Tribolium castaneum: one gene and its partner. The protein of the gene in region 2 interacts with the protein of the main gene of each other region in a pairwise test. Links are inferred from orthologs where the notes say so. Each region holds a gene or a part of one and is shown on either strand. Other genes may lie near its edges.

Region 1 (3,735 bases), on a different chromosome or scaffold from region 2:
TATGACTAAGTCCAGACGAATAAAATTCAAAATTGGCCATTTTCCAATCAAATACTATGAGTTTTTTGTGGCCAAAAGTTTTACGAATATTGTCTTACTACAAATCTAGAGACTAATTAGGAATGAGATAATTTGCATTTGTATTATTTATTTAGTATTAGGGCTAGACTATGCGTCATTTTAATAATAAACTTCTTGGGTGCTGTTTTTAATAAAAAAATCACACTTTTGAAAGTAAGTTTATTTCATCTTCAATTATTCCGCCTTTCGAGATGTTTGCGAATCGCGACCTGGTTTTACGGCGATAAGGGAAGCGAATAAAAATGTTTTTTATGGAAATGGGATAGTGCGCTAATTATCAATAAAACTTGATCCAATAATGGTGTGATAAAGTTGTTTGTGAAGACTTGGACAAGCGAAAAAAACAACATATGTTTGCTGTAATTGTGAGATTCAAGATAGAATGTAAATTCTCGCGTAATACTTCCATATAAGGCTCTGAAGCTTAGTTTTCAGGTCACATTACTCACAATTTAGTCAAATATAGTTTAATTGCATGCGTAACTGTTGATCTCGAAAATGAAAATGCGAGAAGGATTTGGGGGATAAAATTAAAGGCAGTAAAAAGACGGGGGCACAAAAAGAGCCAAAGATTCTTGTTGTTTTTATGGAGATATGTCTGAAGACAGTGAAGAATTTTAAGTGCGTTTATCGGCGCTCGAGCAATCGCGTGGGCCATTTGCGACTCCGGGGTTATTTTGATAGAATATCTAAGGTAAAAAAGGTCGGAGACTCGTATAAATTTAACAAAAATCGACATGTGACACAAAATATGGAGCTGAATACTGAAAAAAGTGGGGTTAAGTTTGAAGACAATCTATAAACAACCAAACTCATGGACGGAGTTCTATTCTTGGTTTCACACATATCTTTAGTTCGAGTCGTGTTCAGTCTTTCTACTACATCGAAAGTGTTATAAAAGTGCAATGATTTTACGGAGGATTCTCTAGATAATATCGTTAATAAATTAAGTGAGTACAATTAAATTCGCACCCCCTGGTGCATTTCAATTAATTGCGAGCACTTAATTGATCGTCTTTCATTCGCGCAAATCGCTTAATATAGACTACTCGGTACTCTCCAAAATTTTAACACCCAAAAACATTTTTCTAAAAAATCTATTTTCAAAGTTACGTATTTTGAAACTATTTATAATTCCCGAACGTTTACATGCAATATTAGCGTTACTTCATAATGCTTAAACATATTTATTTGTTCATTATTAACTGCAATAAACACCGCGAACATAAAATTATTTAACTGACGCGCTTTTTTATCGTAAAACCGTAAAAAAATCTGGCTTAATTAAAAAAAATTGGAAAGCAAGTAGAGTGTATTATAATTGAAATTTGTTGAGATTTAGTGCGACTACATTCTTAAGTCAGATAAAAAACCAAAAACACCGCAACCACATCCGTCAGAACGACTTCCAAAGAACAACTTCAAAATTTCGCTTTTTCAGTAATCTTGAAACGCAAAACTAGGCAACCAAATATACATATATTTTTTTAATTTAACTAAACCAATTAGATGTGAATTACTCGAGTCGCCCTTGATAATTTGTTTATTTATATATAAAGAAAAATAATTGGATGGCATTCAAATACAGGACAAGTTCGATATAAATAGACTAGAGATGTGTTTTCCTCATTAAATGAAATCTCTTTTAACATCGTAAAAGGGCAAAAGAGATTTTCGACTTTCCGCTTTTTTCTTTGATGGAATGTCACTGAGAAAGTTGGTATTTTTACCATTGCAGAGAATGACAAAACGTGATTCAAATATTCGAGAATGAGTGCGATTACTTACCTGCATCTGCCTACACATGGGTAAACCCAGTGGCGAATCTGGCTCATGATTTTTCCCCACAGAAAATCTCATCACAGTCGCCCTCTGATAATAAAAGGTTTTTGTTAATTTTCCCTATTGATCAGTTCTTTATTTTTTTGTCTAAGAACTGCAGCGGTCATTAGAAAATTTTTCTAAAGTTTGAACGACTTTTTTTAACTATTTTAGTAGCATCGTATCCAATGGGTCTAAAAAACTTATTTGAAATGTTTTTGTGACATAAAGTTAATCGAAAGTTTGTACAGAAATTTTTGCCATTGGTAAAAATTTGTCCCTAGTTAAATTTGGCCGAATTGTACTAATTATTGTCCAGTTAAGTATTTTTTTTAGTATAAGTTTCGTTTAGTTTGATTTATTTTTAAAAGCTGGGGTGTTTGAGGATATTTTTATTTAATATAGACTAAAAGATTAAATAACTTATAAGTATAGGTAGTTTTTTTTGTTTATTTTCCGTTTGATAAAGGTTTTATCATTTTATTAAAAAAAAAGAAAGTGAAAAGGGCCGTGGATGCGAAGAGTCGGTAGTATTGCTTGTTGTATATGGTGTTACAGAGGGGTCATAGGTGAATTTGATCAGCATGGCTCAACAACAGTGTCCCTACCAAAGCAACTTCCAGCAGCAGCAACCGGTCGAGGCTTGTATGCAGCGCGATGTGGACTATTGTGAGTTTAATGACGAGGACGAAATGGTGACGACCGAGCGCGAGTTGGCGGAAGACGCACAGTGGAAAAAAATCCAACAAAACACCTTCACGAGATGGGCCAACGAGCACCTGAAGACCGTGCAAAAGCACATCGGAAACCTGGAGACTGACCTCAGTGACGGATTAAGACTCATCACCCTAATCGAAGTCCTCGCAGGAAAACGTCTCCCTAAGCACAACAAGAAGCCCTCGTTCCGGTCCCAGAAACTAGAAAACGTCTCGGTGGCCCTCAAGTTCCTCCAAGACGACGAGGGAATTAGAATTGTTAATATCGGTGAGTGGACACCGGCCCTGCTCTACTCTCTGCTTCTTTCTCGAATTCCTGCGACCCTCCGGCAGCAGACCACATACCATGCTTCTTGTTGCTTTTTTCCGGCACGAACGCTGAAAAACCTAAAAACGCAGCCGGAACCGACAAAACACGCAAATTCCCTACGCGCCAAAACAATTTTTTCTGTTTATTCTTATTATTTGCTCAAAGTTTCCTTTTATCGCGTATTTACAGTGTGATGTGCTAAAAATAAAGTTTAACATCATTCCCACCAAATCCCGCGAAAAATATTCTCAAACGTGGAAATATGGTAATTGATTATTCATTTTCACTGTGTTTGTGCTGACCCGATCAAATGCATTCGTGTCATTATTATTGCTTTTGCTATCATATTTATAAATAAACGGATCGGTTATTGTAGTCTCCAAACATTTTTCTAGCATTCTAAATAATAACGGACGTTCAAGGCTAAAAAGCCGACAATTTCTAAACCCGTTTTCGACCACTAATCCTATCAGGCCTTTCTTTTCTCTTTTTTAACAATATATCATACTGTTCATCCAGTCGGCTTGATCTGTAATAACATGAGAAATAAAATTAAATTGGAGATCAGGAGGTCAAACGCAGTCATTTTCAAATGCCTTTAGAAAAATACACAGATAGAGTAATGATAATTGTCATTATGATACGATGTTTTCAATTACTTGAGGTCGCGTTCTCGATTCTTCTCAAATTACTTAAGTCCGATGCATACCAAGCATCATATTTTCCGTCTAGACTGTTATTTGCTTCAAATCGACCGTATTTCTTGCATTTTTACGCGTTTTGAAACCGCAGTTCTTGAACGCTACC
Region 2 (3,758 bases):
TAGGCCATCACTGAATCAGGTGCGGCAAATTGAGAAAGAGACAATAAATATTTATTTTATTCGCACTGCCTGTCCTTCTAAAAAGGGAACAAATTGAACGATAAATACATTTGCTAATGCTAAATAACAGTCACAAATATACGTACAGAATGAACATTATTTTAAAATAACTATGTCTAGCACTTTATTGGCAATCTTTTAAGTACATATAGTATCTGAAGCAACTTTTTGCGTTCGTTTAATTGTTGCTTTTTGGTTTAAATTTTGTGCAAAAAATGAAATAAATGCAGTACTAACGTACAGTTTTTCTTCTTGTTTGCAGCAAAAACTTTAGTTCAAAAAGCTTCTCCGGTTCTTTAGAAATTATCCGGTAAAAAAGATTTTAATGATGCGTTTGGTGAAACAAGTGCTTTTTTATTTTTTGAAAATCTGTTTCCTTTATATTAAATGTGCAAATGATGATGGGCTGGTTGAAGGTTTCGAAGGGATGTTGGAGTGACGGTTATAAGTTTTAATATTGTCAGTGAAGTTTCGTGTCGGTTTTTCTCTCTCACCTCAACAATTCTTGGCTTGTGCCTGGGAAGCGGTTTTGGTCGAACTCGGCTCAAGTCAGTAATTAATGAAGTTCGAAAATATGAGTCCGCATTCCGCAGACCAATTAATTCGTATATAACTGGAGGAAGGATTCGAGGAGTTGTTCGGAAGTTGGGTTGTTTTTATTTAAGTTGGTTCTATAATTTCATATTTCAGGCAGCCGACTTGCATGTAGCTCTTCCAGGGATGAGGTTTTAATTTGCATACAAACTCCAAAAGTTTAAAGTTATCTTTTAGCATCAGGAAAGCTCCAACATCTGTGAATCAAGCCCGGTTCGTTTACCTGCTGTGTACTTTTTAATTATTTAAATGAATGTTTTATTCTTTTGCATTATACATGTCGCAGATGGATGGATCCTGCGTCGGATAGCGACTTTCGACGCCGTTATCCTGCCTAGTGTCGACGTCCACCGCCAGGGGCGACGCTCCAGGCGCAGGACTAGAAGACCGCGCATCGACCCGGTGGGCCTGCTCCGATCCGCTCGTTCGTCGTTTGACAGTACGTTACGAGCTGTCTTGGAAAGTGGTTTCGTCGCCAAACATCCACTCCCACATAAACAAAGCATTGCCTCAGCGGTCGCGCTTTATCAACAAATCGCGCTCCGGCGCGACCACAACGCGGTGTGTTTCAGTTTCGTTTTTCCGGTTTTCTGTGACTTGGTGACTGTGTCTTTTTCGTTTTTCCTGGTTTGGTGGCTTTTCCGATGGAACCCCAGTCGGCGAGGGAGCGACACTGAGTGTCGTGCCTTCAGCGGCTAAAAAATTTACCACCGTGGCTGGTGAGTTTCCACATTCAGAATCACGTGCCGATGTATTCCGTTTAATTACATCGCGTGCGAACCGTTCAAAAACTCATCTCAATTATCAGCGCGCTGTTCGCTGTTTCAATTTCCTCGAATATCACGCCGAAGTCGGCAGTTTCCTCCTGTTTATAAATTTGGACGAATGCGGTTAGGAAACCGGGACGATTAACGCAAATTACACAAACGTAAACTTGCAGGAGTCGGTCCTGTGTCAACACAACTTCCTGTCCGTTTTAACTTTTCGACTTCCTTCCGGCTATTCGTGAATACTTTTCGCCCATAATCCTATTTTTCCAGGTCGGGCTTTTAAACTCTGCCACTAACGCGGGGGTGGCTTTTACTTCGCTTTGGACGAAATCGATTTCCAGTTCATATCAGACAGGAACGATTGGCTTCGTGCCAAAACTCACTGACAGCACACCAAAATTTACTCCTTTCATAAAATGAGGCTTGTGTGTGTGTTTAATTTATTTTCCAGCTTCGTAATTGCAATTGTGTGAATAATTGGGCCCTATTGTTAGATTGAGATTGATTCGGGACTAGCTTCAAGGAGTTTTTTCCGGTGCGACCCTCGACAACCCTTCCATTATAGAAAAAATTTCATTAACGCGACGCTCGTAATTAATTATCAATAAAGACACCTCCGCATCCATCACCGAGCTTTTTTCTTTATCGAGGCAATTTTTCAAATTATATTCACTTGTATTCGGGATTTTACAGACACAAATTGCTTGTCAAGTCGTCTGTCTTTAAACTCACACTTTGCCGATGATTCCTAACGTTCTCAAATATTTATCAACTTTCAGGGTGCATAGCTGAAAGCCGACTCATTTTCCTCCAGACTTTGCTGTAATAAACTTTTCATTCACCACTACTTCAATAACTTTGAATCCTCCCCTTAAGCGCGGTTTAAAAATTATTATAGAAACTTCCTGACATAATTGCTTTAGTAAACAACCAAACTAATGCGACTTAATTACTCGATAAAACTAGTTAAGCTACTTAGTAAACGAAAGACTGTTTCGAGCTATTTCGCTCCTGTTCAAATATTCCAATAATCGAATAATTGTCTCCCTCCGTAATAATTGTCGGAAGTAAACGAACCTTTGCTACACTGACCGTTAATTATCGACAAAAGTAATTGCATGTCAGCGTTGGCAATATGTAATTATGATCAGGTATGCCACTGATTATTAGAACAAAGCAGCCGCCATAAAGCATTCTCATGTCTATTAAATTATAATATGCACAGGGCGCTCTTTTTAAACTCCTTTCCCACAAAATATCTACTTGAAACCTGTCATTAGTCTTCTTCGAAATTTTAACAGCTGAAATAATCATCCTCACTGAAAGATTTAACGCTGCTACAAATTCCTGTGTACTTTGTAGATAATTGATTGATGATTGTCGTGAAAAGCGCGCTATAAATAAATGAGCTTTTCAATTTGTGTTCGACTACAACAGTTGCGAATTCTCATTCACTTCGATAAGTAGTAATTTTACATAATTGGCCGATTATTAATAACATAGTGTTGTCCTTAAAATGCCCTGTTAGAAGTGGAGTAGCGTCTGCACAAATACTGGTTAATGTCCGCTGCAATGCGCCAATTTCCGATATAGAATCACAATTTAGTAGCTGTTTGGCGCAGGATCTAGTCATTAGATCTCTTAGGCTGGTCGGGAGCTTGCCAGGAGTACTAGTGACATATATTCAATTACTGGATCCTTGGCAGAGTCCCTTATAAATGAGACCATTTGTAAAGTCATTTCGACTGAGCAAAAGCTCAAATCCGACTTGGAAGTTTTCTATGAAAGCTCTATTAAGTGTAATTCCGGTGGCGGATTTTTTAGTCTGTAAGCTATTAAAACGGAAAAAATTCTTTCTAATAAGAGCACGAATTGGGTCATTTCTTTACATGCGAACTCGGAAAGCACGCACGCCTTGAGGATTTATTATGATAAGGCGCTGTGCACAATTTTTAACGAGAAATATTTGTGGTAATTTGTTTCGTTATTTTCACACCACGGGTCAGAGGGGAGCTCAAAATAAATATTATCAGTAACAGGAACAAGCAACAAAACGTTTTTAATTACGCCACTGAATGCTTAGCTTATCACGTACAAACGTTTAACAAATCTGATAAAAACGCGCACTTTTACTTAATTGAGAAGCAGAGCAACGAATATCTAAACAATTCGGAGAATCGCGTAATTACACCGCATAAACTCTTGCAATTATTTCGTCGGAGGTAACTTCAAAAGGATGAACGTGCCAAGTGAATTCGCCAGAGTGTGATTTGGAAGTGCAGAGAATGCATAGCTGAAATTCTGCTCTTTCGCAATCAGTTTGATTCAGATTGA

Evidence for each region.
Region 1: the proteins of Ten-m (region 2) and cher interact in binary tests that used the Drosophila melanogaster proteins (3 or more experiments, as listed by UniProt). The link is inferred for Tribolium castaneum from reciprocal best matches to the Drosophila melanogaster genes Ten-m and cher.

The regions. Positions count from the first base shown.
Region 1 is NC_087403.1:5,250,273-5,254,007, reverse strand, and holds the start of cher (filamin-A), read left to right. Parts: upstream 1-880; 5' UTR 881-1,031; intron 1,032-2,460; 5' UTR 2,461-2,486; coding exon 2,487-2,886; intron 2,887-3,735. UniProt on the Drosophila melanogaster protein: Involved in the germline ring canal formation. May tether actin microfilament within the ovarian ring canal to the cell membrane. Contributes to actin microfilaments organization.
Region 2 is NC_087402.1:5,291,636-5,295,393, forward strand, and holds the start of Ten-m (teneurin-m), read left to right. Parts: upstream 1-1,072; 5' UTR 1,073-1,373; intron 1,374-3,758. UniProt on the Drosophila melanogaster protein: Involved in neural development, regulating the establishment of proper connectivity within the nervous system. Acts as a homophilic and heterophilic synaptic cell adhesion molecule that drives synapse assembly.